Linked DNA regions of Lepisosteus oculatus. The protein of the gene in region 1 interacts with the protein of each later gene in a pairwise test. Links are inferred from orthologs where the notes say so. Each region holds a gene or a part of one and is shown on either strand. Other genes may lie near its edges. The genes, in order: srrm4 and zrsr2.

Region 1 (16,771 bases):
GAAAGTATCAGGTTTAAATTCTGTATGGGGAACAGTTAGTACACTGTTGAACTAGGTACCTTTCGCCTATTTCTCCTGTAATATGTGGTGCTGTTCAAATGTATGTTGCTTTGGATAAGCATGCCAGCCACATAAATTAATAATCCATTAAGACAGTGTGAAGGTTGGTTAAACTGCTTTAATGATTAGTTTCTGCAAGGGATCTCTCTGACAAGGAAGTGAATATTTTATTGTGAATTATCTGGTCTGTTTCTGTTTTAAAAGATGCAGAAGCCTTTACGATAATTTGAAAAATAATTTGGAACACTGAATGATTCAGATGTCTAACAGCACTATTATAAATATAAAATGTAATACTGTATGCTTCTGCACTCTGTGAATATTAAGTACCGTAAATCCTGTTTTTGAAGTCTTCAGTACTGTATTCCAATAAACTGTTATATTACCAGAAAATCCTTCATATCCATATAATATTGAATCAGCTTTTCAGTGAAATATACATATATATAAATTTTTTGTGCTTGTCCACATCTGATAGAAATGTCATTAAGTATAGAAATATTTAGTGAATGACTAAATCTTAGCTGGGTCTGCATAGTAGCCAACACTGCAGGAAAACAACGTTAGTTCTTTCAAAGATCTGAAACATAGAGTAATTTCGAGCTGTACTGTATATATGCAGCCTTCAATCAAATAAAAGTGAATATAGTCCAGTAATAGATATTAAATATAGACTCAAAACAGAGATGACAGATTTGATTTAAAAAACTACAAAGAGAATAATTTGTCCAATTCGTTTAATTGGCCATAGTAAAAGCTTAAGTAAGCTTTCCTGTCCTAGTACCTGTATTAAAACAAGCAGCGTTGCTGGGCAGAAACAGTAAAGAATTCTGTGAAGAGCTTACAATGAGTCATTGGAACGCCAATTACTCTTAATTAGGAAATATGATGAGAGAGCATTTCAAGAAGTAAGAAAAAGATCTTTTGGTATACAGTATAAACAGAGTCCAAAGGTAAAATATTAAGCAAGAGTGTTCAAACGTCTTCCTCAGCTCACAAGTTTTCCAAAATGTTCAAAAAAGTTCTCTAAAGTCCAAATTTGTTCAAAATCATTCATAACATGCTAAGTTCCTCCCAAATATTCCTTAATGTTCCAAAGAACTCCCACAAGTTCAAATGTGATGTGAAGTTTTCACCGAAGTTCAAAATGCCAAGTTACTAACTCAGATTTCTTAAATAGATAACAGTTCTTGCATTAGTTTAATTAAATTGTTTAAAAAATTACCAGGATAAATAACAAAAAGATCTTACACAATATAGTCATATTTTCAGCTGTACTAATATTTCAAACAAAGGTTTCCATTTGTAACATGTTCTAAAAACATGCCAACATTTCTCATTAAATAATTAGTGTTGACATTGAGTTGAGTAATAGTTTTATGAAAATGAAAAATAATCTTTGTCAATGAAATTAAATTGGAAGAATAAAATGTTGCTTCTTAGCTGTACTCATATACAGATGTAGATTTTGTACATTCATTTGTTATAATTCAGCTCAATATTTTTTTTTACTTCTTGTCTTACTGTCTGGTAAGGTTGTCTTGTCTTACTGTCTGGTTGTCCAGCTCCATGTCTGACTAGTTTTTCTGTGTTGCTGTGGTAAGGGAACTGTTCTGAACAACAGTGCAGTTACCACCCACTCTCTGAATTTCTTTGCCATTAGATTAGAGTGGAGTTATTCTTAAACCTCTGAAGGCCACTATGTCAGCCATTCAGCACTGCAATAGCAAGACACCAACAGCCACGCTGAACTTTAATTGCTTTTCAATCTTTTTCAGCTCTGAACTGGAGAACACAGCACTACAATCAGACTCTGGTGCAGTACATTGTACAAGAAAACAGTATTTGTGGAAAGCTTGCAGTTAGTTTAATACTGGAATAGAAAGAAAACCTACAAAATACCAAACAATAAAACAAAATTTGATCTAGAATATTTTCACATCGATTGCCCAGATCAAAAAAATGGTGCTGGTTTGGTGAGGTGGTCTCTCCCTTGAGCCTACTTACTGTTGCATAAACAATAACGAATGCTAAAAAATAGTTTCAATCTAATTGTTACTTATTGTATTGTACTTGGTCAGGACTATGTATTCTGTCTGCACAATAAAAATGAGTTTGTGCTTGATTCATCATTACAGCTGTAGCCATCACATTATACTCTTCTGATATATTCTCTGGTACAACACAGTGACCATTGGATTGGTAACTGGTCCATTTTTATGTCAATTTTATTTAAATTCAATGCTGGATAAAATGCTGTGTAGGTGGAACCCAATCACTTTAAACTTAAAAGTGATTTTTCAAGGGTGGCCCAACAGCTTTTTAAAAGAGCTTTGTAATTACATTTAATAAACAGCCATAGTAACGGAATAAATTTGGAGCCAAAATGACAAAAATGTGATTTGAAAGAAGCAGTATGCCTCCAAGGCTTTCAATCAGGTACATAATAGCAGCACAGTTAATTAGACTGTGCTTGACAACATGTGCAATCAGACATTACTAGCCTTACGTCTCGTTATTCATTCAGGCTGCTGTACAGTACGTTTTCAAGACGAAGAGTTAAAAATGTGTCAAAAGCAAAATATTCCCCTACTAGATTTTTCCACCTCATTTGTGAAAAGAAATATATTTCCCTTAAAACTATTGCTTGCTAAAGAATGTACATAAGAATACGCTAAATTTGTAAAATGTATATCCCTTATTTTCAGATAGATACTGTATATTGTGGCACAATATGGGACAAGGGTACAGAGAGGGTCTTTATGGAAATCTAAGATATATCAAATATTTATCATTTTGCTTATTTAAATTCAGTGGCTTGGTGAGCCCATAAGCACAAACTACATTTCCCAGGTGGCCAGTGTTGATTAAGGCCAATGGTATATTTGCCCTGAGTTAACTGGGCAAAGGAGTTCTCAATGAAGGTCTGTGCTCAGGTACATAAGGGTGTGACAAACAAGAGACACCTTTTAAGAGAGGCTAGTTTGTCAGGCTGAATCTGCTTATAGTCCTATAATCAAAATAAAGGCTTTTGGTTTAAAATAGTCAGCTGATTACCCATCAAGCCATTTTCCAAACCTGTACGGAGGGACCGCATAGAGAGGACTTTTGGAAAAGGAGCAGGTATTCTTTAGTTTTTTTTCTTTTGAAAGTACCAAAGTCTGTTGCTCGGAGTTGGATCATCAAAATCCTGTTAATTAAAAACAAAGCGCAAGGACAACTTCACATTTTCAGCACATGCAATCTTCTCCCTATGTTAGAGGGCAGGATAAAAAGAGCTTGGGTGAAGTGACCAGCACCCCAGTGCCTTTTGTTGCAATGCTAATGCTCGTCCTGGGGACCCACACACTGAGTGGTGTGCGTTGCAGTCAAACTCTTTATTTTAATTAATCCTTAACTGAATCAGCAAATTGCTGGGTTGAACTCATTGCTAGTTTTACTCTATAAAGCTTGGAGATCTTAAGGGACTTATATCAAAGGACATTGTGGACATTTATCAGTCTTTCTTAAGGGGATCCACTTCATAAAGGGATACTGTATGTTTAGAGCATGAATCAAGCATTATTTTAATAAGCAAACAATTCTGATCTCTGTTTCCATTAAGCACTATATTTTAACAGCCTTAAAGGATATTCATACTGAAGATTTTGTATAAAGGCACAAAAAAACATTTGAACATCAGAACCACTCAGTTGCTTAGTTATTCTAAAAAATAAGTAACTTTCAAATAAAGAGGAAATGTATAAAACCAGAAATGCTACAGTCCAGTTCAACATTTGCAAAGTGAAAGACAGACTCTTGGAGGAAAGTGAGGATTTTATGCCGTTTTAGAAAACATCTTTGACGCTGTAAAGTCTAACTGAGTTGAGCAATGCACATCTGCATGATGACAATTTCAGCTCAGGCACATCATTTTGATTGTGCTCCGGCAATACATATCACTGTGCTTGAGCAACTGCAATTACAGGATGAACAAAAGTTCTTGCAAAGTTTTAGTGGGTAGAGTGTGGGACCGGCTAAATAGATACTCATCAGTTTAATATCCTCCGCACTACCACTAAGTACTCTAGACCACAGCATGAGTCAAGCAAGCACACACAAAGAAAAGAGATGTGCACTATTTAGCCCTGGCTGGGTAGCAGAGCGGTATAGCAGCGAATGATACTGCCACACAACGTTTGGGTCCTGGGTTTACTTCTGGGATAGGGTGCCTTTACTATGATTTGCACATTCTTCCTGTGTTTCTATGGGCTTTCTCCATGTGCTCCAGTTACATTAATGTGTGTCTGTAAATAGTGTCTGTGCACTCTTTGAGGGTCCGATATCCCCTCTTGTGCCTTGTGCCTAATGCTTGCAGGTTGACTCTAGGTTGTCACAAGTCCGAACCAGGAATAAGCAGCTTGCTGATAATGGATGGGTGTATGCATAAACACAATTTCCTTCATGGTGGATGTTTTTTCAATGAACACGTAATCCCTTGTCCTTTAGATCAGGCTGATACAGGAGTTTGCTTTTAATCCCCTCACTCTTTTCCTCTTCAAGCTAGCATCTGTTCAGGAAGAGGCACTCACTCTTAGCCATCCCCTCTTCTCCCTTTCCATCTCCCTGCTTGCCATCTGCTTCAACTCCGGTTAGGTCTCCTCCCTCCCCCACCTTCTCTCCCCCTCCAAAACTGGTTGCATTTTTAATGAGCCTCACCCTGGTACAAAACAGCTTGCAGGATATAATGACCCAGAGAGAAACCCTCCAGCTGGAGTGTTCGTGAACACATCACCCTTTTTTCCCCCAGAGTTGAAAGAGGGTGGGGGGAGGGGTACCTCTCTAATTACCCAACGGCAGTCAGCAGGGGAGGCTATAGTCAGCTCCAGTGACGTTTGAAGAAAAGGACAATACATAGAAAATGAAAGGGCAATAATTACACATCCCCATTCTGTAGTTTCCTTTTTCTCTGCTATCAAGCATTGTCAAATGCCCAGTTCAGTGCTTATGCACTGCAGTATGTTACTTCAGCAAAGTGGAAGATTGAGGCCTGCTTACTCAGTGGGGATGAATGCTTTCGATCTGCTATTACAGTACCCACAAATTCTGTTGAAAGAGATATTTCCCTTTAAACAATGAATGGCTTTGGATCTTTCCCAGCATAAGTTCCTCAGGGTCTTCTCTGTGTTCTAGTGTGTATTTAAGAATGGATACAATAAAGAGAAAGAAAACCCTTCCAAAGCTTAACGGTGGCTTAGTTACATGTGATTTTTAAAAAGGATGCTGGGTTTGTAATCTGTGTGCCACACCTGCTAACATCCTCTCAAACACACAAGAGGTGAGTTAGATCGAGCACAACTATCAAACAATGCAAAAGTGACAAGAATGAAGATCATAATTTTACTGGGGTATACTGTATACTGTATGATGTTTTACTATCACACTGAATATATTGGATTCTATAGTATTCAGACAGGATTCATGTTTGAAATTGCTCGGTTACACTTTATGTAGAGAAATTATAGAAACCATATAGCTATAATAAGAAAATAACAGAGGGCAGACTTTATTATTGTTGTGCTTGTTCTGGAAAACCACTCTCACAAGTAATTAAATTTGGATTATACTATGCTATGGAAATGCAGCTGAATATATAATTGAAATACTAGATTAGTTTCAAAGAAAAGCCCTTATTCTGTCAGAAGGGAGTATTTCCCTTATTTCACATTTTCTGTACAAATTGCTTATAATTCATCAGTCAGTTTTGTTAAAATAAGAAGCTTACCTAAAAAAAACAAGTAATCATCTTCACCAAGCAAGTAAGGTATTAGCAAACTGTCATGTCTTGATATTTATTTTTTAGGAAAATATATTGACACATTCAAAGAGTAGCTAACTACATACATATATCAGTTAGGGAATTTTATATCATTAGTACTTTTGTAAACGTTTAGTGTCTCTTATGCCCCCTCTGATTCAAAACATTAAGAAGAAATACAGTATGTTTATTTTACAAGCTAATTCACTTATTTACTCACATAAAAGCCACATTTCTAAAATAATGCAAGTGGTTTGAAAAAAACAACTAAATGTTGCTTGCCTGTCATCATTTTAAAGAGAAACGGGTTTTAACTCTGAATAGTTTGAAAAATAAAAATATCGGAAGACCTGAAAAACATTGTAATGCTCAAATGTATTATATTCTGCAGTGCTCATCTGCTAACTACACAAACTGGCTACAACTTTGTATGGCAAAGAAGGTTTCTGCAGACTTCAGTCAACATTTATGAGCCTCTCATAACGGTCTGCCCTCCCAATGACTGAATTAGGATTGGGTGAGATAAGAGTTGTCAGCGCTGGATCTTTACGGAATGTAAAGACAGCAAAGCTGGGATAAGAGATACTGGCAGAGCACACAGTGGTTTGAAATGAATCACAAATCACTTTTCACTTGCCAATGCTAGCTGCTGATAATCCAACAAGTCACCTTTGTGATACTGGTGAAAAAAAGAATAAATAAGTAGAGCAGCTCATATCTGACAAAGGCAGAAGACAGTTCAGATCTTAAGGCAGAAAACTCATCAATTTTTGTAGGTAAAATGCAGTTTTTACACAGTTTGCCCCTTTTTGGCAGGTCACGCAGACGTTTCCCAAAGATGTGTAATTTATTAACCATTGCCAGTTATGAGGAAAGTTAGGTGTGGAGCCAAAAAGCTTTTAAAGACAGCCTGTTCCTCTGGGCCTTTTTCTATTTTCATATTTTGTTTATAACATGATGCACTCAGCAACTCAGACAGAATCAATTAACTGAAAAAAAGTAGACAAATGTATCCGAAATTAATCAAGGAAACGAATTAATCCGAACCATGTGTCTTAAGTTCGGTTTTAAATTCAACAAATAGCCCTATTCTTCTCATAAGTTAAAGGTATAGTTAAGTGGATCGGTTTGAAATGAAGGCACTTACTTGCTCAAAGTCCTTCTGGCTGTTATACTGGCTACAATGATGCTTTCTGGTCTCGGAGTGGCCACAGCTTTGAAGGTTCCCTTCCAGAACTTTTCAAAGAGCTGCTTCTCTCCTTGCTGCACGCTGGCCATGGCTTGCTGCTCTTCAGACTGGGCTCGTGTGACCGAAGGCTGGAAGTAATGGGGGGAAGTGGCTGACAAGGCTGCTGCTGAAGCTTCAGTCGCCGCCTGCTTGCTGCTGCTTCTCACACACAACACTCCTGAGCAAGGGAGCTGTCCAAATACTGAAGCCCAGAGCTGCCGCAAAAGCCTTTAAGTCTCTTCAAATGCCAAGGAGCAATCAGTTACTGCCGTTTCCTGTCTTTCTGTCCATGTGATAATGCTTGCTCCACTAGAGACAATGTGATGTCACAAAGGCTGCACGACGCACCATTTATTTAAGGGTTATCATTATTTTCACCATCCCTTGCCTTCTGTTCATTTGCCCATGGATTTCTTGCTGTCACCTGCTTTGCCTTGGTTCAGGGGAGGCAAGCCAGTGTCCAGTCCACTCACCATGAGTTCAGTCTGCGGAGGCTCTGTCCGTGCCGCTGGATGTGAGCTTCGAAGAGAAAGCCAGTGCGTAGCCAAGGACAGTGTAGTGTCGTGTGGCTGGGAGAGTGTGCGTGTGTGTGGATGTATGTGCCCAGCTGACGATCTCTTGTTTTGTCTCTTGTAGGCTCTGACGTTGAAGCTGGGGTTGGGTCACCAGAGTAGGATGTCTTTTCTCTCTCTCTCTCTCCTCTCTCTCTCCTCTTACTCTGTCTCTCAGTCTTCAACAAAAAAGCGGAGCCTGCTGGTTCCATCAGCATAACAAAAGGCAGCAGGTTTTGGAGAATAGGCATTACGTGTGCCTGACACAATGCCTCAGGGGGAATTGCCTGAAACTTCCCACAATGCCTGTGTGTCATTTCTCTTTGACCCAGAGGTGCTCAAGGATGGAAGAGAAGCCAGAATAACAGCCTTTTGTCTTATGATAAAGCAAATTCTCAAACCACCTCATATGCTCTATGATATCCTCTGTGATAGATGTAAAAAGTTACGGATTCATTTATCTGTTTTTGCTCAATTCCATGTTAAAAATGAGTATAATGTTCCAATTTAGCTTCATGCTCTTGGCGTTGATTAAAAAAGGTACTGACCAATTGTGTTAAGTGAATGTACATCAGAATTATCTGGAATCTTAAAAAACCAAGGCCGAAGCATTCAGTAAAAGGATTTTAGTCTGAAACTGAAAAAGTAAGCACTACTACTTTTTCTTCTTTACTGAACATAGATGTGTGATGTAAAATGCTACAAGAAAGTGTGGTGGTGAAAGTGTTATAAGTGTTTTTTTTATAAATCAAGACATTTTAAATGTATTCGACATATTTTTAACTTCTAGTTGCTGTCTTGTTGAAAGAACTGTAAATTGGTTTAAATACTTTACAGATGTTATAAATAGGATTTTCTTACAGTATTTTAACACTAAAATATACAGTACACTAAATATATGCAACAGTGAATTTCACGGAGCCTAGTTGCTAGTTGCTGTCTTGTTGAAAGAACTGCAAATTGGTTTAAATACTTTACAGATGTTATAAATAGGATTTTATTTTAGTATTTTAACACTAAAATATACAGTACACTAAATATATGCAACAGTGAATTTCACGGAGCCAGCAATAGCAGATAGGTTTACTACAGCTGAGTGCCCACATTTCTATTACCAACCTGGATACTGGAAGATCTTGTTCAGTGGTCTGCTACACAATTTTGGATTATGATCCCATTTCCAGGGCTCCTAAGGTTCCAAAGAGCACATATCTTGAGCCATGAATATGTTCATATTTTATCTGCTAAAAAAACAAAGATATTGGCAGAGATACATGAAAAGCATCCAGCTCCTAAACCCAAAAGAGACAGAGATAGTCTTCTTATCCAGACTACATATCTCCATGTGTATTGTGTAGCGTGTTGCCTCTAAAAACACAATATATTACAGTAGACTCTACTCAATGTATTTATGTTTTGAATTGATAAACATTTTCAATACAATCTTTGGGTCCTTTTTTCTGATTTACTCAATGCTTAGGTCTGGCACAAAATGGTAATTAGGAAATAAAGAACTAAAGTGTTATTTCAAAATAACTATTTGTGTTTTTTCCAGTATTCTTTAATTGTACCACATTGCTTCCAATGGATCCCTTGAGTTAGTATTTAGGTTTTGCAATTTTAGAAAGTCACTACCAAGTGTAAAATGCAGTATGGATTAATGCGTCAAAGCTACTAACAACAGTGTAATGTGGTTGGCTCCTGGGCGTTTAACTTTGACTGCCTTCATTAAAATGCAAACTGTGATTAGCAGAGCATTCTATGACTCCAGTATGTCCAGTCTGAAATATGATGATAAGGTATTGCATTTACATTTGGTCATGTTTTTTGCAATTGCTTTTTTTGAACCCCTTTTCAATCTACAAACCTCACACACCTGAGCCCAATCAGGTCTGCTCAAGGCAGAAAACCTTCCTGTCAAATCTTTCTTTCAGAGGGAACTAGGTCATAGAATAAAAACTTAATGAGATGGCAAAAAATGGGGAAACTTTACTCTTTTCCTTAGCATAAAATGGTTTCCTAAGCATTTAGGAAACAAGCCTCAATGCATACAGTGTATATATATATATTATTGAAAATAATAATATTCCAAAATGTCACAATCGTGTACTGTGCACCTTCTAAATTTAAACTTAGAAGAAGGACACCTTTTACTGTTGGTGTTTAACCATTTAGGAAAGGATAAAGAACTATTTTTAGTGTCTTATGTGGGTAATGGTTTTAACTTAAGCGACTAAAATTAGTATTTATTTATACAGATTAACTTTTTAGTGGAGTAGTCTGAATGAAGTACTGTACCTAGCTCATGGGTACAACAGGAGGCCCCACCTGGAATCTGAATCCACAAACTAATATTGACTAATATGATTCTGCATAGATCTATAAGTAGCCAACTGTATTGTTCACACTACTACCATATTCACTTCATTGTCAGACATGCTAACGAGTTGTGGCATTTGAAGAAGTGCACACATTGACACTTCAAAGTGAAGGAAGAAAGAATTCCTAAAGCAACAGCCAAGTAGATGAGTATTAAGCACTGGTGCTGACACAAGAACGTAATGCTTTTTCTTTGGATTTGTATGGATGCAGGAATCAAATCCCATTTAAGGTTTGAGATTAGTTTAATTGTAACGGAAATGGCGATTTCCTGAGAACATTGAAGGAGACATATAAGGCGTATTTCCCACAACAGTGTTACAGAGGGTTTTATAGGCTCTGTACGTCCAGCCATGCTGTTGCTATGAATGGGGGTTTAAGAGTGATCATTTCCCTTGTGGTCTAGTGGCTCCTTCTGATTATGTTATCTCACTTTTCAGCTATTTCTGAGATATCATGTACAACAGCAGGTGTCGGTTTAAAATTCACTCAAGCCTGGTCAGGAGTTATGACCCCAGGCCAGAGTCAGATTTCTACAGATTCATATTTTTTTTAGATTAGTTTTGCTTGTGTATGCTTTCTCGGTTTTCGGTCGCACTCCAAAATGAGTCAGTTAAAGTAAAGGAAATCTTTTCAATTACACCTCTTGCTGTTGCAGAGGTATTGAGCAGAGACATGTTGTGCAGTCAATCTCCCTAGGTAATTAAACTGCATACTGTAGCTCTCCACCAGCCCTCCCTCTTTCTGCTTCTTAGCTACAGAGATAGATAAGGTGTAGGGGATTTATATTAACATGTTCTCTACAGTTCTCCAACATTCATGTAGAAACATCAGTAGCTGAGCAATGCCAATCCATGATTTTTTGGTAACAAATAATTAACATTAATTCAATCTGTGAGCTGAATAAAGAAGTAAGAAGCATCTATATTTAATGTCAATAAAGTTTCTTAACAGAAAGAACAGCAAAGGTCCCATTACAGTTCTGTACTTGGTAAATTACTGGCTACAGAATGTTATTATATTTGGAAATTTTGTGGCATTAATAAAACATGACAATTTTCATAGGCACTCACATTTCTCATATTGTTCAATTAGAGGGAGCTCTATAATGATTTCTCAATTCTCCTGCAGTTTTGGGAGCTTCACCAAGTACCATCTGTAATCAGTGCCCTGAATCTCATTTCTGTTAATAAATATTAACACAGATCAAATTAAATAAACAGAAGCCAGAAACTATCAGGTGATGACCATTGACGAGAGTCTATGACCTTCATTAAAAAATATTCGAAAAATTCCACTAAGTGAATTTAGGCTTGTTGGCCGCCCTTGGTAATTGCTGTTTGTGTATTTTTAGAGCAGCAAACTGGTTCTTGTCATAAGTTTTATTAAGGCTCAACAAAGGGGTGAAGGGGAGTATGCATAATTGTCTTTCCAAGTGCTCCTGAACCGTTGAGCTCATATCGCACAATCACTCCCTAAGTTGACACTAACTGGCATCCAATTCTGCAGACTAGGCTTAAAAAGACCCATAGAAAAAGCATGATAATACTTTTGCTGAGGCAGCGGGAACAGATACAGTATATAGATTTTGTAATGGAGATGTTTTGTGCAACAGTGATGGAGAAACCTTTCTGTAAACCCCCATTATAAAAGAGAACCAAATTAACAAACAGGTGGATTTGAAGACTTCAGTCCCTGAGCTAATTAAAAAATTTCTGACACAGCATGATTAATTGAAGGTTTCAAAAACACCTACATTGCATTTACAATGGCATAAGACATACAGTACAGTATATCTTCTTAAAAATGTCATTCCACATGTGGTTTACAAAGTGAAGACAAAATATATATGGTAGCTACATATCTGTAAATCAGTTGCTTGTTTTGTTACATACAAGTGCAAGAGATAATGAACTGTATATTTGTTTTTTTGAGTATCTCTATATAAAGCACAGAACATCAGCTTAAAGAGACTCAGACTGGGTAAATGGTAATTGAGCTGGAGTTAGACTTGACAGTGACAGCACCATTTTCGCCAGCTTCTTAACGGAAAACTGAAAATATTTTCTCAGGTCCATTGCTCCAAGACAAAATGGTGAATGCTAACAGAGTGTGAAAGATTCCCCCAAATTTCTATCAAAATCAGTAGGAAGGCAAAAAAGCTCAAATTTCTGCATGTAAGGCACTGTAAACTGAATATTTGAATAAAAATGAATGTACTAATAGTCAATCATATAGTATTTCCTTAAAAGGATAAAAACTATTTTATTTGTTGAATGCAAGAGATACTGTATTAATAGTCGCGTATCTTTGTTATTTTCATTATATGAAGTAATGTAAATTAAAGCGACATCATTTTGTTAATATATTATTTGTGCAATACCAGTGATGATCCTCAAGTTTTATTTAAAGGGTAGCTGCAACACTGTTTTTATCTTCATTGATGAGTGTATTTCAAACCACAATAAAAGTACACAGTAACTTTTAAAAATCTCCAATTTACATCACAAAATAGACAATTTCAAGGTATGCGCAACACAATATTCTGCGATTCAGGAGGAGACAATAAAACTTCTGATGATGTGATGCAGCCCTATAACATTGTAAATAAGCAGGCTTGTGAATATCTCTTTTAATCCAATAAAAATATTGCTCTCAATTTTGAGACAGTTTTCTGGACAAATGCTATTTACTTGTTAACTCTGCATGCTGATCAAGTTGAAAGATTTCTGTGGTGAAATGTCTGCTGCACAGCCTGTACTTATTCACTAGTACATCACATTACATTAGTCCTTATGGTGACTAGTGAGCAGGAGGGGCTGCAGCACCTTGTTTGTGACAACATACAGTAGCAACTTACAGTACTTTCACAGAGTTCACACTTTTTTTGTGAAACCATGTCAATTAATTAACAGTATTGTGTTAACGAGATTTAATAACCAGTCTGAGAAATTGGGACTGCAATTCTCCTTTAATTGCATACATTATTGTATTCATTAAAGATCTGCCATTCACTCACTTACAAGCCTCAATATCTGGGTTATTTTAAAATATTTTTTATTTGCTGGCTCCACACATTTCCTGAAGTGGAGAGTATTATTTTAGAACCCTGACACTAATACATGAGAACACAAAATAGTTGATGAGGGACAATAATAATAATAATAATTGCTTGGACACTCCACTCAAAGCGCTTTACAGGTAATGGGGACTCCCCTCCACCAGTGTGCAGCCCCACCTGGATGATGTGACGGCAGCCATAGTGCGCCAGTACACTCCCCATACACCAGCTATTAGCGGGGAGGAGAACAGAGATATGAAGCCAATTCATAGATGAAGCCATTAGAATATACATATATGTTTGTAAGTTATATTAAATTGCCTCTTCTCTGAGGTTGTACAAGGCATACAATCAATAAATTATGAAGCGTGTCAAACTAATAAAAATACCCTGCCTAGTACTGTATGTAAAAGACTTGCTGTGGCTTTAATTGAATGTAATATTTAACAGCACTGCTAAAAGCTTATAAAGTACTAGGAAGGGGTCAATATAAGTCTGTTATTTTGAGAGACATGACAGTGATAAGTAAGGGTTAGAGCGCCGTTATTTTTGTGTGCTCTTTGTACTCTTTCAAAAGCAAAAGGCACAGCATCGGATACTGAACAAGAAAAAGGTGAGAGGTTCTTTCCCCACACTAAATTATACTATCATCACTGTCACTCAGCTTTCACTCATAGAAAAAGAAGCTTACAGCATAAGCATCACATAAGATAAACATACATTTTTTATAGTGTGGTAACAATAACTTCAATATCTCACTGTTTTAGAAGTCATTTACTTACTACTGGTTCTATATAATTCAAACATCATTTTTACATCAGTTGAGGATGGATAAAGGAGGATTTCCAAAGATAACCATATTTACAGTATTTGTTTAAAATAATTCATATTTATCTGTAGCCTGTGCTTTGTTTTAAAATGTATAAAATGCATTACAGAAGATTTATTGCTGGGTGAAGAGAATCGGAGATAAGATTTCTTCCTGCAAGAGAAAGACACAAGACTTTACAAGGTTTTCCTCTTTTTTGGTGTTTTAGCATCAACGTTGACCACTTTCCCTCATGGCTTCTCGCTTATTAAAAAGTTAGCTTCCTAATAATATCTGATGACAATCATGTTTACATTTTCCCTGTAGAAATCGCGCTGTAGAAACAGAAATCTAAAAATATGCAGCTGAAAACAAGGAGCTGGTGTGTGCGTATGATAGTTCATTTATAGACTGTCTGGCATTGTACAAACAGGTTTAAGTGAACACAGGAGACTGAATTTCACTCTTCTGAGACAGCAGGGAGAGCAAATAATTGACCCAAGGCATCCTATTTATTTTGGGTAAATTGATTCTGCCTATCACAGAAGCTTCTCCTTTCATTTCCAGACTTAGTACTTTGCAGCAGGTGGTACAGATTTAATTGGTACCCAATGCATAAAAAAAAAACAACAGCAGCAATCAAATAGGAAGACATAGTGAAAGTATTTTTAACTTTTTTTTTTACTAGAAGCAATGACCTGACTTTTAACATTTAGAGTGTCCGAAAGCAAACATGGAGACCTGTTTTTCTGGCTGATTTTTTTTTTGGGGGGGGCATTGGACAGTATCTGTAAGTGTGAAATAATAGGCTGAGATGAAAAATGAAACATGTACAAACAAAAGAAATACAAAAGTCAGTGCTTCTTTGGAACCTATTAAACTCACTGTGTCAAGCGATTGATAAACATAAGAATTTAACGTGACAGTTTGCTTCATACACATCATAGGCAAGACCTTCAGTGAGGATTTGAATTTTATCATTCATTTAGTAATCACATAATAGTCTGCAAAAAGAAAGACATAAGTATGAACACAGTTATTCCTGCAGATACAAAAACAACAGACATACAGTATAGAAATAGTGAAAAACTGTTTTTTCTTTCTTATGATTTCTTTAGGCTGTCATACCTCTGCATTCCTAAAGACATTGATGACTAAGAAGGCACATGAATGAATAAACCTTGATGTAGGTTTATTCATTCGTGTGTGAAGACTGTCTAATCACACACAATGTATAGAATTTGCGTAGCTATGTTTCTGCTAGGTTATATTAATAGGTTTTTCAATGTGTGACACAGTAATTAGAGGAAGAACTGAACCTTTTAAATAGAGAAGACTAAAAGGGGACCCAATTCAAGTATCTAAATTTCCTCAAAGGTACTGAGCAAGTCCACCCAGCATACAGTACATCTATAGAATCAACAGTGACAAAAACCAGAGGATACAAGTGGACAAGCTACCTGGCCATGTTGTTGAATCTGTGGGTTATTTCCATGCTGAAAAGTAGAAAGAAGAAAAAATGTGAGCTGTCAGCACAAATTCTATGTTATAATCTTTGCATGTTTGACATACTGTACCCGAAAAGGTTCCAGACAAAATATTTTTTTCTTCTTTCTTTCTCTCAGTGCCGAACCTATAATGTTTTTGAAGTGAAATATTGTCAGAAAAAGTGTGATTTAACCGTTGTTGAACCTCAGCATAATTCAAAGTCGAAGTTATAGAATTACCTGTTTCTAGAACAGATGCCTTTGCCTTATTCCCTTTTGTTTATTGTTAAGACTTCCTTTCTAATGCTCTGGGCTTGAGCAGCTGATGATGAAAAAAAAGCATCACAGATTGATTTGCTGTCATAATCTAATCAATTAACCTGATTCATGGAACCGGTGTTGACAAACACAAATTCCCACTGTAATGACTTTTCTGTGAGCATATTTCAATCTTAATTACAGGTTATGATTTTTTTCTTTTCTGCTTAAGGTCTTCCCTATCCTCTGAGGCTGTTGCCTGGTTACATACTCCATAATGGATTGAAATTTATTTCTATATACGCATTATCTATCTACTATGGGTATGAATATTAATGGGCTTTTCTTTCAATTACAAATCTACAGGAGATGGAACTGTCTTATGACTTATTATTCAATGTGTTTATGGATATTAAGTCAAAGATACTGTAGCAGCCAAAGACAGCCGGCTATATTTGCTCATGTATTATCGCTCATATTATTGTTTAACTGCATGACATAGTTAACTTTTGCCAGTAACATATGTTAAATACTGTATGTTTTATGTTATATCTCTCTATCTCTATCTGTTACCCTCCATAAGACATTAAAGCATACTGTATATGTGCAAAAATACCCAGAAAAAAGGTACAGCAAAAAGTTTAACTTCACTGTCCCAGTATTTATGCACTATATCTATATATGAATTAACGTATTTCATAGGAGAGGGTGCGAGTTAAGAACAGAGGTTTTGCCTATGGATAGACAATATAACACTCATCATAACCTGAAGATGTGATCATTTTGATATCTGTTTACTACATATAAATGAATGTACAATACCTTATTAGATTGCTGTGGTCCATCTTATAATCTTTCAGTGAACCATCGTTGCACAAGCTCTAACTCATATAAAACACTGTTCTTTTGTTTTGTTATATGTTAATTACAATCATTATCCTCAGAGAAAATCTGTTGCCTATACTTGTTTTCATAGTGTATTGGGAACTCTGTCATTACTGATATACATCTGTTGTACATCTGTTTGCTCAGCGATACATTTTTAAATCAGAAATTGGAGGGGTATCCCTGCCAGCCATTCAGTGAAAGATACATAGAAACCTTTGGTTTGACTGATATTTAACAAAACAACTGCAGGATCC
Region 2 (16,010 bases), on another chromosome or scaffold:
TGGACAAGACGGTAAACCAGTAAGAAAATGAACAAGCATTCAAATTCCTGTTCTCAAATGTGTATGTTCACCGTCAGTTTTTATAATAATGTGGATCTATCTAGCGCACAGAAAACAAAAACAAAATGCAGGTAGTATTCTCCTAAAGCGGCCATATATTTGGTTTCTCCGATCTTAGATGGTGCCTGATTGTAGCGAATGAGGGATGTAATTCCTGCTCGTTTTCTCAGATTGTAAATGCATAGTTCTGTACCTAATGATAACATTTTTAAGGCACAACAGCAAACATAAAAGAAACTGAGCAACACTGTACCTGTCTCCAAACCGGCAGGCTCCTGTCTTGAGAAAGAAAGGGCAGTTTTCCCTGTCTTTCTCTGTCCCATAGTCCTCTGGTGCTTCAGGGTTCACCCATGTACCACCATTCCCTAGCTGTGCCGCAATCACAAATGAAAATTCCCAAGTCAGTGTTTATGGATTTCTAGAGCTCACACTGTATTGATAAAGTACACAGCCGTATTACAATTGTATGTTATACAACCTCCAGGGAAATTTTAACAGAAGTGAGGATTCTCCATGGTTTAAGGGTAGGATAATAACCAAGAATGTGCTGAAAACAGACTACTGTAGACTTGCAGAAATAAAAGACAATGTTGGTTTTAACATTAAGCAACAAAGGTGATATTATACCAACCTGACTTTCTGCTTCATCCAGCATTTTCTGCACAGCCTCCTACAAATGGTGCAAACACAGGACTGGTAAAGACCCTGAAGTGGGCTAGCAGATATCTGTTAACCTTGGTTAAGAATATATATGTAGCAAACATCACAGTAACAGCAACAGTTAAAGTATATGCCCCAACACAGGAATACAGAAGTATTAAATACTGCATATTCAGTGGGCAGTAGCATCAATACTACAATCTGGTCATTAGGCAGTAAAGCCCTCAACCTCTACAGAAGAGATTCTTTAAAAATACATTTCTCATATATGGAATTTATTATCAGATAACATTTATTTTCACAACAGCTGACCACTCAACTCTTTATCTACTTTGAGTTAATACATTTAAAATACGAACATTCTGGACCATTTAATATACTTTATCACTTTATCTTCCCCATCACACATTTTCTTCACCCTTTTATTGTGTTTATATTACAAACATGTCTGGAGTTACGAGGGATGTAATGCTAAAACTCTATTCTATTTTTCACAACTCTGTACACAAAATGCAGCTCCCTTTGGGCATTTTCTTCACAGGGAACACAACTTCTAAGCAATTGCCTCTCAGTCTTGTTTCTTTCAACTATATCTACCTTAAAGCAGCGTTAAAAAACAAAAAGACATGAAAATAAATACGAATAATTCTATTGCAATAAAGATCTTTTACTCTTTTACATCTTCCATGGCACGAGCTAACTCTGGATTTAGCTCATGTCTGGAGGCACTATGGATTACAACAACAGCGCTTTAATATCTGACTCTACTGCCAACTGATGAGCACTATTAGATGTTGGCAGTGTTCCTGTCACCCAGCTTGACAGATAATTAGAGGCTTCTGTGATGAACAAAACTAATTTCAGACCATTGCTTATATCTTTGAAGAATGAATATGGATCACATTTTAAAGAGTGTGAAGATCCAGACCCTTTCAAGAATTGCTACGTTGGGAGAAATCTGAAAATGTGAGCACCCAACGGATACTACAAAACAAGTTGGTATCACCCCATAGGTAAGAGGAATCAAATTAATTTCCTCTGCTGAGGTCTGAAGCTCTTATTACTTTTAATTCTTTGCTTTTTTTCCCCCCAAAATGGCCCAGTACAAGTACCTTGATTGCATATATCTGGGCATGGTTCAGCGAACTGAAGAGTGCTTTCACAAGGACCTCATGTTACATGTGAAATAATGAGGGCTGAACACAAAATCTAGTTGTGCTGAAACTGTCAAGGAAATATCTATGTTGTGCATATATTTATAGTTTTAAATGGGTTAAAAATAAAATCTCTGGTTCTTTAGTATATAAAAATTAAAATGTTGGCAAACGTTTTTCATATTAAAAACTGAAAAACAGGTTTATCGAAAGGAGAAGTACATTTCTCATAATTTTTAAAAGTTTTCCAACATGTACGGAATAAAACAGTCAAAATTAGTCTGAGTCAAGACAACCATTAAAGCAAAAAAAAAAGTACTTAGGACACATATCATGGTCGCATATGCCCAACTTTCTGAGAGGTTTTCAGCTTTTCAATCAAAGCAAGCATCTGCAACAGTGGTATTAATGCGTATTTCATTTCAAATGCAAACCTTTTTCCACACAGTTATGATGAATAATATTGATAAACATATGCATTTTATTTTGAGATCAGTATATTTAGCTTTAAAATCTAAAATAATTCATGATGGTCTATTTAGCCAAACAATAACAGCAGAAAACCTAATTGCATTATAAACTTTTATAAATAAAAAGATACTTTCTCATCCAGGGGAAGCAGGTGATCTGCAGTACAGTATCTCTTTGAGTTTATCTTGGTTAAGGAAGATCAGCAATGAATGGAACACAGCTTACTCCAGAAAAATAAAACAATTTTCTTAAGATTGTTAAAAAAAAATCAGCTTTAACATTTTTTGTTTATGGAGACAGCAAAAATACATAAATATTTTTGAAATGTCAGAGAGAGCCATTCTGATATTTTTCATGTCATGTACAGTGTTTTGCAAGGCATTCAAATGAAGTCTTCGTATATTCTATCATACATTACTATATTTCTATATTACTATAGAATATTACTATATTACCAAGTTCTATTTATAAAGTCAAATGCTAAACAAATAATGTAAAGAATCGCTTGCCTTCAGACTTGAGACCCAGTTCAAAATTTAGAACAGCACACCATTCTAAAACTCAAATGTAAATACCAATCAGTAATGACAACAGATCTACTCACGTGTTAATAAAAATATCAGGTGGAGAGTTAGTGAATCACTAAACTAAGAGAGGATGGCACAGGGGAATAGTGGGTAGCATTGAGCCTTGCAACACTGGAGCCCTGGATTGCCATCCGTGTGGAGCCTGCATGTTCTCCCAGTGTGCTCATGGGTTACTCTGGGTACTCCAGTTACCATCGCCCAAAAACATGCCAACAGGTTAATTGTCTTCTTTATAATTGGCCCCAGTGTAAGTGTGTGTGCACTGCAATGGTCTAGCGTCCCATCCAGGGTGTATCATGCCCAGTGCTTCCCGGGACAGGCTCTGGGCCACTGTGACCCTGAATTGGATAAGTAGTTACTGAAAGTGATGTGATGTGTGAACTAACAGAAACAGTTAGGATATGCTGCTCTTTAGCTATCCTCCAAGAGCAGGAATCACCTCTCTTTCTCTCTTCTCCTGCTGCTTCTGCTCTCTCTCTTCCTGCTCTTTCCTCTGCTGCTCCTCCCATTCCTCCTTTATTCTTCTCTGCAACAAGAATAAAACAAAGTCACTTTAAATCCAAAAAAGTTTAGAAAGGTCCATAAGCTAATAAAAACAGAAAGAACACATTTATAATGAAAGGTGTTACTTACACAAGTATCAGCGCTTTACAGGATGACAATAACAATAAGAAGACTACAACAATAGATAAGAAGATTTCACAAGATAAGACACAATTACAATTACAACAATAACAATAGAGGAGACCGTGGAAGTGGTACTAAGAAGAGCAGAGGGGTTAAGAATGGAACCAGTTAAGTAAAGGCTTTTCTGAAGAAGAAGGTTTTGAGTCTGGATTTGAAGGAGTTTAGAGAAGGTGACTCTCGGATATCCTTGGGCAAAGAGATTAACTGCCATAATGGCTATCTATTATCCTCCAGCTGCAATCTGTAACTCATGCATGTACTGAGTGCTGCAAGTTCACAAAGTTAGCAGAAAATATTTATTTCTTCTGTGGCAAATATACTGACATTTCATTGAACAGTCATGATATATTTCAATTTCTTCAGCAGAAGGGTCAGCAAGTGAGGTCTCAGGACCTGACCGATGCAGTGACATAGTCAGGATGTAGTAGGATCTTGTAACAACTAGACACTTCTGCCCAAGCCATTACATTTGGACCACATTGACTGGTCTGCTGTGAACAATTTGCATATATTACTGCATATCTGAGTCACATCGGGGTGATCCACACAAAACCTTGCTAAATTTATCATCCAACAAGTTCATTTTGGCTGACAAGTTAATTTAGGTTATTGATCTTTTGTTTTTTTCTTGATATTCAATAGGTTTGACATTTAATAGATTAAATACCAAAAACATCTATGCCCAATCAACTTTCTAATCAAGTGACTGAGTGTTTGTGCCACAGTTATGGTCAGCCAAGGGTATTACATTATGTTCTGAATGATCATTTAGTCAAAAAGACACCCAAAATATTTAATCAATATCCATACACTTTTTTTCTAAAACCATACAAGGATAATATGATATGCTTCTTCTGATCTAATTTTCCGATTAAAAGTAAATAATATACATGCTGGTCACTTAGCATTAGTTCTATTTCACCATATAAGGTTTAAGATAGTTTTAAAGACTTCATAACAGTGTACAACAGGGGAAGAGTTCTGGGTATATTTTCTTTAAACATACTGTCATGAAGTCTTAATTCCTCTCCAAAGTCTGTCTGTACATTGTGTTTTGTTGAATTTACCTCCTCTTCCTCCTTTTTCCTTCTTATTGCTTCCTCCCTCTCCTCATTCAGCCTGAACTCCTCCTGAGCAATCCTCTCTCTCTCCAACCACTCCAAGTGCAGACGTTGCCTAAACAGCAAAGAGGAAAATAATTTTCACTCTTGATTATTAATAGAATATAAATATAAGAGACCACATATTTACCGCCTTCTCTAGGTGGTGTGAGGTGATAACCAGGAAGTGAAAACCTCTTGATAACATTACAGTGACAGCATCAATTCAATGTATATTAAACCAGGTAGGCTTTATAACTATTAACTATTAAGCCAGGTAAGCATTACAACAGCATTTGGCTACACTGTCTTATTTTAAAAGAAAGGAAGTCGATCCAGCAAAGGTGAGGTAAGACAGAACATACACATCTCCATCTCCAGGAACATCAATCAAATGGAAAAAGCTGAGGAACGTGATGAGTTTGGCTTAATATCTAGACAAAGAGCAGCGTCTTTATGTGTAGCTGCTGAGATGGGACTAGGGAGACGAACCTTTCTTCTTCAGCCCTCTTTTCCTCCTCTTCGTCATCCTGATCTGGTAAAGTCTCATTCTCTGCTTCCTCTTCTTCTCCTACTTCTAAAAATGCAAAAGGAGTTGCAATTTTTTCTTCTTTAGAAAAAAAGAAATACATATTCAGAAAACTTAACCTTACAATTTTGTAGCAAACACCAAATGCCTAAAATATAACTGTTTGCAAACACACCATTTATTATTAAACACAACATAGTAAGCGATACCTGAATCCCTCAGTTTCGCCAAGGCTTGGCGCTTTTTTTTCCGTCTCTCTTTCTTTAGTGCGGCTCTACGCTGTTTATGGCTGTAAAGGAGAATAAGTGGTTATTTACACATACACTTAGGAACACACTACCCTTCGCCTGTGTAACCAAATAATTGCTCCATTTCCTTTTTATAACAAAATCTTATTTTATTTATCGGTAACTTATTTGCATCCGAGTAAACTATTCTGTGACCACAAATTAAGATGCCTGTAAGGGGATGCAGTACTTCATGTGCATATATCATACATTTCTAAAGTAAATTATATATTTCAAAGAAAACAGAGCAATATTTAATTTGAGGACTCTTAGTGCAAAGAAATACCAGTTAATTTATGTAGTTGCGTTGTCACATAAACGTACTTTCCAATCGAACCCTTTCTACGTGAAAACAAAGACAATCCCTACACCACATCAAACTTTCGTTTTAGTTTATACATATCAGTGCTTGCTTAGGTTCAATTTAAATGGGAGAAATCCTGTTGTAATTACTCTTATTCACAATTCAAAATACTACCTCAGTCCTGAATTCGTCAACGCTACCACGGGCGCTGCCATCTTTGTTTTTCTGACGTCACGTCCGGATCATAAGTGAACCGATTTCCTAATGTCATAGACGAGCTGTAATGCTTTTAATAGACCCACATTTTTAATAACTTCTACATCGATTGGCTTATATTACCTTTGACAAAAATATACCACCCCACTATTGTTTTTGGTGCAACAAAGTTTTGATTTATTTTTCTGAGGGCATAATTTGACAGGGAAAAGAAAAATCAGCTGTTGATATAATCAGCATACACTGCTATATGTGCTATTTTAAACTTTATATGTTCCATTTCAGTTCATTCAGTTATAGGTATTTAACAAATGGCATCAGTGGTATTAATGAATGGACTACAGTATATCCTCATTTAGGGGCTTTCAATCATCTTCTCTAAACGATTTTACGGTTTATCTAACACCGAGACAGTAGTTCTTCATTGAACATTGTACAGTCGGTGGTACTCATCAATAAGAAGCACAAAAACGTCTTGATAACGTATCCCATTGCCGAGTCAGAAAAAAAACTGAAAAGGCCCGCTCTTTAAAAACTCAAACACTGCCCAACTTCCCCTCTTTGAGCTGTGCAGGTTCAGGCGCCTGTGCGGTGAACTCTGTGGTCTGAGAGGGCGCAAGCGCACTGGCTCTCTGGCGACGTACAGGCGCGGATTGTTGAAAGGGGAGTACAGCAGGAGACTGATGCTAAAATTAATATTTGGCGCATATAAAACCTAAAATAAAAGGCGGCGTTGTTTCCCGTGAGCAAGCGTATCTCATTGTAATACCTTAATTCGCGACGTATATTCGCCAACAACGAGGGCTGAGTAATGGCGGACAAAGAAGGTATAGTAGGGGCATGCTTGTCCTTTATTGTGCGTGTTGCTTTATCCTGGTGTCGACTGATTTTTTTTTCTCTGTTTTGACCGCTGGAAAACAACCCCGAGAGACCCTGCATTGGTTAAAAATTGGTTTAAAAATTCCGCTGGAGATTTGGAAAGTTGGAAAGTGGATAGAAAACGGAGTTTGACTTGATTTCCTTAAAATATCCCGTTACATTTCGTGTTGTGAATTATCTACTCCCCTTTGTTAAAAATTCTAGCATAAGAAAAGAATTAGAACTGGAACTTTGTTTTTGCGATTGGTGTAGAACAGAGTGCTGATTGTGCTGTTTTCCCTCTAAAACACACATGCAAATACTTCGAAGATTAAAGTGACTCTGCTTACTGTATCCCTTCCTTGGGGCTGCGTAGGAATATGGTTCTTGTGTTTAATTTAGATGGTACTCTGAATGTCTGTCTAGAGTTAAGATTGACGCAGATACAGTTCTACAGAAATCCAGTTATTGCAATGGAAATCAAAACCAGAGATTGAGGGTCGATGGCAAATTTAAACTTGAGCATACACCTTTTATCTTGGCTTAAAAAAACAATATAATAATAATAAAACATGTACTGTGAACATTTAGAATCGTTCCTTTAGCAACTAATTTCAAGGAGGGGGAGTTGTTTCCCTGCCTTTAAAATGCACATCATTAAGTTTGGTTAAGGGAAGTGCAGTTCAACCGAACAGGAGTGATTTCTGCACACAAAGGGTTGTGGGAGTCTGGAACAAGCCTGTTGCCATGTTGTTGAATCTGCAACCCCAGGATCTTTCACAGAACAGCTGGACGAGATCCTCTGACCAATCACCATTTAGCAACCAAGCGAACTGTATGGTCTGAAAGGGTTTCTCTCCCTTGTGTCCTGTGTTCTCCTTTATGTGGGAATTGGGATAGAAGGCTGTGCCGTTTGCCTTTGTAGGTTCCAGATGTCAACAGAGACACGCAGTGTTAGCTGAGCATTTTTCTTTCCTTGATTTTAAGATACTGAGGGTTGTGGGAGGCGGATGACATAAGGGAGCTGCAATTCTGTTTTTCTTTTGAGAAAATGCATGGTTTTTCAGTGTCTCACAGCTTCCACTGTGTTTTGCAGTGTATGACGATGCAGTGGAAGAGAGGGTCATTAATGAGGAGTACAAGATCTGGAAGAAGAACACACCTTTCCTGTATGACCTTGTAATGACACATGCCCTGGAGTGGCCAAGCCTGACTGTGCAGTGGCTGCCAGACGTCAATAGGTAAGTCATGTTTGGAAGCCAATGTGTTTTAATGGGGCCCAATTCAATGGGACAGAAATAGAACTTAAGGATTAAGTTCAGTTTAAGGATCACTGTTAGGGATCTTATACTGTATATGTCATTGTGACCAAGTAAATTCTGGGTTTGCTAATAGGCCTCCGTACTGTGTGGTGGCTTCAGAATGCAATACTGTTTGCATTTTGTCGTCATCAGGAGTTATTTGGAATGATCTTCTGCTTTCATTTGGGTTTTCAACATTAACATCTTGCACCATTGAGGCATGGTGGAAAAAAATATCCCAGAAAATGTACTATAAAGCAGTAGTGTAGCCATTTGCAGAATGCACTGCATTGTTACCACCCTCTAGGCGATCTTGTCAGATTATAGAAGCTGCGCAAGGCTGGGGTTGGTCAGTCCTGGGATGGGAGGCACCTGAGGAAAACCAGGCTGCTGCTCTAAGGGGTGTTATTAAATCAGTAGGTGGGAAACCTTCCTCTCAACCAAGATTGTCAAGACCAGTGTGGTGACCTAGATGCGCAGTAAGAGGTGCTGGCCTCTGGACAAAACATTCTACTAAGATCCTGACTTATTATGACTTCCTTTACTTAAATAGTTAAAAAAAAGAATAGTACCTAATCGGGTCTTTTTTAGTGCAGTTTCTCCCGTTTCCATTTAATTTTTATGACTTATAAGAGGTACTTTCATTTTAATGCTCATGACTGTCGTATGTGTGTGTGTATATAAAGGCCTGAAGGGAAGGACTATGCCATTCATCGGCTGGTGTTGGGAACCCACACTTCAGATGAACAGAACCACCTGGTCATCGCCAGCGTGCAGATCCCCAATGACGACGCCCAGTTTGACACCTCCCACTATGACAGCGAAAAAGGAGGTGAGACAGGCTGGTGTGCCCCATAGAGTGTGTAGTGTCAGATTAATGATGATGATGATTATTATTAAGCAGATGACAGATTTTGTAATTGCATTGAAAACAATAGAGGATGTAGAAGTACATTCTGCAATTAAAGCAATTGCAGACAAAAAGTCTGCTATTTCCATTCAGTTCTGAGCACAGGGATGAATCTAAAGGTGTAGCCTGGGCAAGGGGGTCTTTGGGAGATGCCAGCTGAAGGTCTGAGACAGTGCAGTGGTGAAGCAAGGGAAGAGAGGGGCAGGAGAGGGAAGAGAAGAGCAGCTAATTATCCTGCAGAAAATGAGCAGAGAGGCTGCCGGGATATAAGGAAAGAGGAGGGATTGGGGATGGGATTGGCGCAGAGCGAATGTACGAGATCTTAAATCTGGTAGAAGCAGTGATGGTTGAATAGGAGAAGCAAGGGTGCTGAGGAAAGGATGAATTGTGCATCTGGACCAGACTGGTATTGGAAGAAACCTTTAAGATGGGATTTATTTCTTTCCAAACGAGAATGAAGAGGTGTTTCATTTTTAGGTGGCTTTTGTAAAGGTTAAATATTGTGCCCGTGTAACTTGTAATGTTGTTTCATGGGAGATTTGTCTTTTGTTTCACTATAAATATGTTTCACTCTTTTTTTTTTCCTTACCGTCTTCTAACAATGATCTGTTTTCATTTTTTTGACCACTGAATTATTTGGAGGTACAGTGGTTAAATGTGACCGATAGAAAAAGGTCATATTTCAGTCCTATACGGTCCATCAAATTTGAGGAATTTTTATAGTCACGATTTATAGGTTGGTGAAGTGAAAAACGTGAAATGGCAGAGGAACCTTGTCGGATTCCGGTACGAGAGCAGTCGGATTTTAACGTTTTTGTAGGTGTCCTTGAGTTCTATCAAGCTTGATATGCAGCATTTTGCAGATTAGTTTTTAACGTTACCCTTCAGTGTGTCTTTTTTGTTAGAAAAGTGTAAGGGAAGTGGACTTGTGAAACTTCTATAAAATAACGCTCTTTCATTCTCCCCTTATCAGCAGGTAAGCGATTCCTCAGCTGGGCTGCAGAGGGAAAAGATCCTGGGGGTTGTGGGGCACCAGTCAGCACGGCCAGCACACACCCCAGGTTACAGGAGGGGATGAGTCGCAAAATGAGCACCTTTCCTGAGGTAGTATTATACATTCTGGGGAGCGCACCGCCCTTTTTGGAGATTTTGGGATGCACTCCTTCTCCAGCCTTCCCTGTGCAGTGAGGCTATAGGTAACATGATCTGGAATAAATTATCCTTAAATTTATATACACTTATTTAGCGCTTTTCTGGACACTCCACTCAAAGCGCTTTACAGGTAATGGGGATCCCCTCCACCATCACCGTTGTGCAGCCCCCACCTGGATGATGCGACGGCAGCCTTAGTGCACCAGTACCCTCACCACACACCAGCTATCAGTGGGGAGGAGAGCAGTGTAATAAAAAAAAGCCAATTTATAGATGGGGATTATTAGGAGGCCATGATTGGTAAAGGCCAGGGGGAAATTTGGCCAGGACACAGGGGTTGAAACCCCTACTCTTTTTGAGAAACGCCCTAGCAAGAGTAAGGTGCCAGCTGTTCATTGGCTATGTTTACTAACATGGGAAAATTAACCAAAAGATCTGTAATTGTGTTAAAATATATAGCTGAGTTTTGTTCAGGAACATTATGAAGTTAGTCGTTTTCCTCTGCATTATTGTGATGCTTGTGTGTGTTTTAGCTTCCAGTTGAACTTGAGATATTGTGAAGGTTTTTTTCGTAGTCATAGAAATCATATGATAGAGTCCTGACTGCACAGAGATCATTTGCTTTTTTTATGATTGGCCTCCTTGTTTTCGGGATTTGTTGTTCTACTGTGTTTTTGTATTGCTATAGGGTTTCTTTCAGATTAAGCATTTAGCTACTTGTGTATGATGTAACGGGTTTAATGTTGTAGGACAGGTGCTTTTTATCAAAGGAAAAAAAACATTTAACAGTGTCGATTCAATTGCAACACATTTATTGTTCCTGTTTTTAATTATTTTTGTATTCTCTTTAGAATTTGGAGGATTTGGATCAGTGAGTGGAAAGATAGAAATTGAAATCAAGATCAATCACGAGGGAGAAGTGAACCGGGCAAGGTACATGCCACAGAATCCCTGCATCATCGCGACAAAGACGCCAACTTCAGATGTCCTGGTTTTCGACTACACCAAACACCCCTCCAAACCAGGCAAGTGAACGTGGACTTTTTTCAGTTGTATTCAAAATGGGCCCCTTCAAAGCAGTTTTCTACCAAGTAAAGGAGGTGTGGATCTGTGAGGGAAACTAATAATACATCTCACAACAGGAGCTTGTTTAGCTGGTAAAATAAGCGACCTTCCTTTTAAGGCTACAGTTTTAAACGGGCAGTGAGGAGCCAAGCCATGCTGCGACGTGCTGCAGGTAACAGCTGGAAGCAGAAAGTGTGAGTGTGGAGTGAAGACCTGGGTCTGCTGAAACAGGGTCTCCATCTGTGTAAATACATAATTCATATCTATTTGATTCGGGGCTGAGCAAATTGAATTTGGAAGCAGAACCCATTTCCTGCGCATGCTTGAACACCGACTCTGCCTCCCCGGGGCTGTGCGGTGCTGGCAGTGGAGTCTGCAGCCGCAGGCGCGTAGCGAGGGGAGCGGGGCTCAGCTGCCCGAAGCCGGCTGTAACGCGCCCTGTTTCCTTGCCCCGGGCGCTGCTGCAGACCCCAGCGGCGAGTGTAACCCCGACCTGCGGCTGCGGGGTCACCAGAAGGAGGGCTACGGGCTGTCCTGGAACCCCAACCTGAGCGGCAACCTGCTGAGCGCGTCGGACGACCACGTGAGTGCCCCCCGGGGACCGCCGCGCCGTGGTCGCGTCGTCGCGGCACTTCCAAATGCCAGATCAGCAGCATTGAACGAGGTGGTGGCTGTAGGGCCAGATGTACCTTGATCTTTTGACGATTTTCCTGTGAGTTCACTAATTCACCAGTGCTGTAAAGTTTCATAGATTCAGTTTAAGCCAAACTTTCCATTTGGCTCAAAATGGTATTACGGAGCTGGAGCAACTGTGCCGTGACGTTGGGTGTAATAGGCTGCACATCGCTCCAGGAAGGGGCGGGGTTAAAAACAAGGCTCTAGCTTCTCTGCTAGTTTCTTGCGCTTTTAAAACATCTGAAATGGCTATTTCTTCTCTTGCTCTAGACAATATGCCTTTGGGACATCAGCGGAGGACCGAAGGAGGGAAAGATCGTCGATGCCAAGACGATCTTCACCGGCCACACCGCGGTGGTGGAGGATGTGTCCTGGCACCTGCTCCACGAGTCCTTGTTTGGCTCCGTGGCCGACGACCAGAAGCTGATGATGTGAGTGCGGATGAGCGTTCCCACCGTTCCACACCATCTCTGGAGATCCAGGCGGACTCTTCAGGATATACGGACAGAGAAACTAGGCGGAGGGGGGGGCGTTTTGCAAAGGCTAAATCAGCCTGTGCAGCACTGTCCGGTTCTGTAACCTTTTCCTAAATCCTGCGACTAACCGTACGACTGGTGTGTCTTCCCCAGCTGGGACACGCGGTCTAACAACACGTCCAAGCCCAGTCACTCTGTGGACGCCCACACTGCGGAAGTCAACTGCCTGTCCTTCAACCCCTACAGCGAGTTCATCCTGGCCACCGGCTCCGCTGACAAGGTTTGGACGTCTGTCCTCCGCTTTACTTCCAGTACGGCAGAGGGTCACGAGAAAGCGTTTGTGCTCTTTTTGGCACAAATGCTTTGGTGGTTACCATCCTCAAAGCTTCCATCTGCTCCACCACTTGCCATCTTGAAATCTTACCATTGTTGCCTATTTGTGTTTTAACATTAAGTCACAGGAAATCAGGTTGCAGCCTTTGTATATACTTCACCTTGTGACAGAGCTGCTGCAGAAAACGGATTTTCAATTGTAAACCAGTCTCTAATCATTTTGACAATGACATGCACCGTCGTCTGTCACCCTTGGCTGGTGTGGATCGGGTTTTGCATGGAGGAAATTGGATTCCTGTTGCTCAATATTATGACTCTTGACTTAGATAGGATTTTAATTCATTTAAATTATAGAGATGTGTACAACAGTGAAAAGAAAACCGATGGAATGTGCTTTATTTTTTGTGCTCACCATATGTATTTGGAGGACACCACAAAGAAAACACTCAAACTCAAACTGACAACAAAAGAGCTGTACCCAGAATTTTTTTTTGCGGGGGGGGGATCCCCTTTGCGGTTTAATATCTGAGCTCTCAAAGTACAGATCAAATGCAGATGCCCTGCTTGTTTTGCGAACAGTGCTGTTGCGGTGCTGTGGCTCTGGTCTCAGTTGATTTTGTTCTTCAGACGGTGGCCCTCTGGGATCTCCGGAACCTCAAACTGAAGCTTCACTCCTTTGAGTCGCACAAGGATGAGATATTCCAGGTAATACTCAATATAAAGGGTGGCATAGAAAGAAGAAAGCAAAGACTGGATAGGGTGTCTACTCCTTGGTTTCCAAATTAGAGAGGCTCTAATTCAGAGTCCTAGATGGGAAGTGACAAGCCTTTGTTCCTGAGAACTGCTTTATTTACCACACAGAACCTTTCAAGACTTACAAACAGTAGAAGTACAACTATACCAGAACCCTGTAACTTGACTCCCTCCCAATTACACTAAACCCATGTAAATTACATATTACTACTTCTATAAATCACCTTCCGATAGCAGTTGCACATAAACCATTACACCTTTTATTGTCTACTCTTATGTTGAATGGTGTGATGGGGTATGGGATAGCATTTCTTTAGTTCATTTGAGAAATTACAAGGATTACAGCAAAAGTCATGCTCCCGATTATTTTTCTGAGAAATGATTTATTATAGTTGAATGCAATTACACCATAATGGCAATAAAGTGCAGAAGCAGCTGCTATTATACCGTCATCAAGAAAGCTTTATCTTTCTGTGAAAACAGTGTCTTCACATCATCCTCTGATTGAAAAAGATGCCCCAGTAGAGAATCCTGCAGAGTGGACATGATCTGAACTATATCTCATATCACTATGGGCATTCCCCCTTCCTTTGTTCACAAATTCAATTACAGCTCTCGGCTTAAAGCACGGCTGACATTTCGGCTAGTTTGAGCTCTGCGCTTATATCCCGGAGGTGGAGCCGCAAGTTGGAAATAATGGAGTCAATTGCAATAAAACATTGCTCAGAAAAACATCGGGACTTCTGGGTTGGCCCACGTATTTGAGGGTCAGCCCCTAACTTAAACTGTTTTTTCAACGTATTGTTGTGTTATCACAATTCCTCAAGACTACAGAGGGCTATCTTGTGCATTTACAATCAGAAGCGTATGCTGGCCTGAGCTTTATTGCACTGACAGTGAATTACTGACTTCATTGGCAGGTGCAATGGTCCCCTCACAACGAAACCATTCTGGCTTCCAGCGGCACAGACAGAAGGCTTAACGTCTGGGATCTGAGGTGAAACTGCCCTTTCTCTTTTTGACCTTGGTGTCTTGTGTATAAAACCAGCATATTTCCCATTGAAAGCAACTTAAGGAGATATCGACCTGGAATGTATCTGCTGTTAGTGTCTGATTTAAATTGTAGATGTTCAGGAATGTTAGTGGTCAGTTCTGACTTCTGTTTTTGTTCATGTAAAATCATAGCATTTAAACTAAGTCTTTTTAAAAAAAGCTAAACAATGTTTCTGGCTAATTATCCACAACTGTAATCCTAAAGAAACACTGTTTAAAATGGGTCCCAAGTCCTGCTGGAAGCCAGCAAGGCTGCAGAGCTAAGGTAGGCTTTCTCATTTGACAGTTACTGCCAGTACATGTGATGAGTAGTGAAAATATTAGCGTTGCAGTTTTTAATTGTTCGAAGAGGTGAAGAAAACTCAGCTGATACCATTTTTCAAAGTGTCGTATTTTATTTTGAAACCTCCACAAATTTTACCTCTACTCTGTAGTGTAACCCACACCTTGTTAAAATGTTAAGTTCAGTTTTTGAAACGGCATCAAAAATAAAGTCCTTGTTGTCTGTGCAGCAAAATTGGAGAGGAGCAGTCAGCAGAGGATGCAGAAGATGGACCTCCTGAGCTTCTGGTAAGGCGTGATGAAAGGCCGAGTCTCCAGAGTCAAGTGGATGTTGTATTGGTGCTGACGATACAGCCCATGTCAGTGAACCAGGAAGACAATTGCTAAAGACCTATGGGATATGCCAGCTGGCATCTGAGCCCCCATCTTTAGAGGAGGAAATACTCTTTGCAAGTGTTTCATTTTTTCAGTGACCCCCCTGTTACAAACAAGGACCAGTTGTTTTCTGAAACACCCCTCAGTCGGCAGAAAAACACTGTAGTGTGAAGGGTGCTGTTTAACTGTTAGTCTTCATTGGAGAATGAATGTAGCGGTGATGACCGACACCGATTGATCTATATGGGAGCTGGATCCGGTGAGGGCTACCAGTTTTTTTAAACCAATGAACGTATTCAATCTGCAGTTTATCCATGGAGGACATACAGCCAAGATCTCTGACTTCTCCTGGAACCCCAATGAGCCGTGGGTTATCTGCTCCGTTTCGGAGGACAACATCATGCAAGTGTGGCAGATGGTGAGTGAGAACACGATCCAGATGATCACTGCTGCCTCCTATCCACAGCGCTATGCTGTTGTCTGACAACACGGCTCGTCTCTGTGGTAATGGTAAGACGTCTAAGGGCAGAGACAGTACCAAGGCGTTCTTCTGATTTGTGGTAGTATGAATATCTGGGGTCTCATGACACTAAGCCCGAATGTACTACCTGCTGCACCCGTGCTTTGTGTAGCCCTCTATTTCTAGTTTTTCATCTTGTCCTTTAACCTTTTACTACCAGTGACATATTTAGCCAATGTCCGCCTGGAATGTCCTCCCCCTT

The links.
Region 2: the proteins of srrm4 (region 1) and zrsr2 interact in binary tests that used the Homo sapiens proteins (3 or more experiments, as listed by UniProt). The link is inferred for Lepisosteus oculatus from reciprocal best matches to the Homo sapiens genes SRRM4 and ZRSR2.

Annotation. Positions count from the first base shown.
Region 1 is NC_090717.1:4,261,259-4,278,029, forward strand, and holds the start of srrm4 (serine/arginine repetitive matrix protein 4), read right to left. Parts: upstream 7,729-16,771; 5' UTR 7,136-7,728; coding exon 7,005-7,135; intron 1-7,004. UniProt on the Homo sapiens protein: Splicing factor specifically required for neural cell differentiation.
Region 2 is NC_090710.1:20,146,371-20,162,380, reverse strand, and holds the start of zrsr2 (U2 small nuclear ribonucleoprotein auxiliary factor 35 kDa subunit-related protein 2), read right to left. Parts: upstream 6,118-16,010; 5' UTR 6,055-6,117; coding exon 6,014-6,054; intron 5,538-6,013; coding exon 5,458-5,537; intron 5,330-5,457; coding exon 5,212-5,329; intron 4,796-5,211; coding exon 4,687-4,795; intron 3,459-4,686; coding exon 3,372-3,458; intron 731-3,371; coding exon 692-730; intron 430-691; coding exon 314-429; intron 1-313. Other genes in the region: rbb4l (histone-binding protein RBBP7), read left to right, coding at 6,867-6,882, 8,010-8,154, 8,901-9,046, 11,128-11,301, 11,809-11,924, 12,287-12,447, 12,646-12,772, 13,453-13,530 and 3 more. UniProt on the Homo sapiens protein: Pre-mRNA-binding protein required for splicing of both U2- and U12-type introns. Selectively interacts with the 3'-splice site of U2- and U12-type pre-mRNAs and promotes different steps in U2 and U12 intron splicing.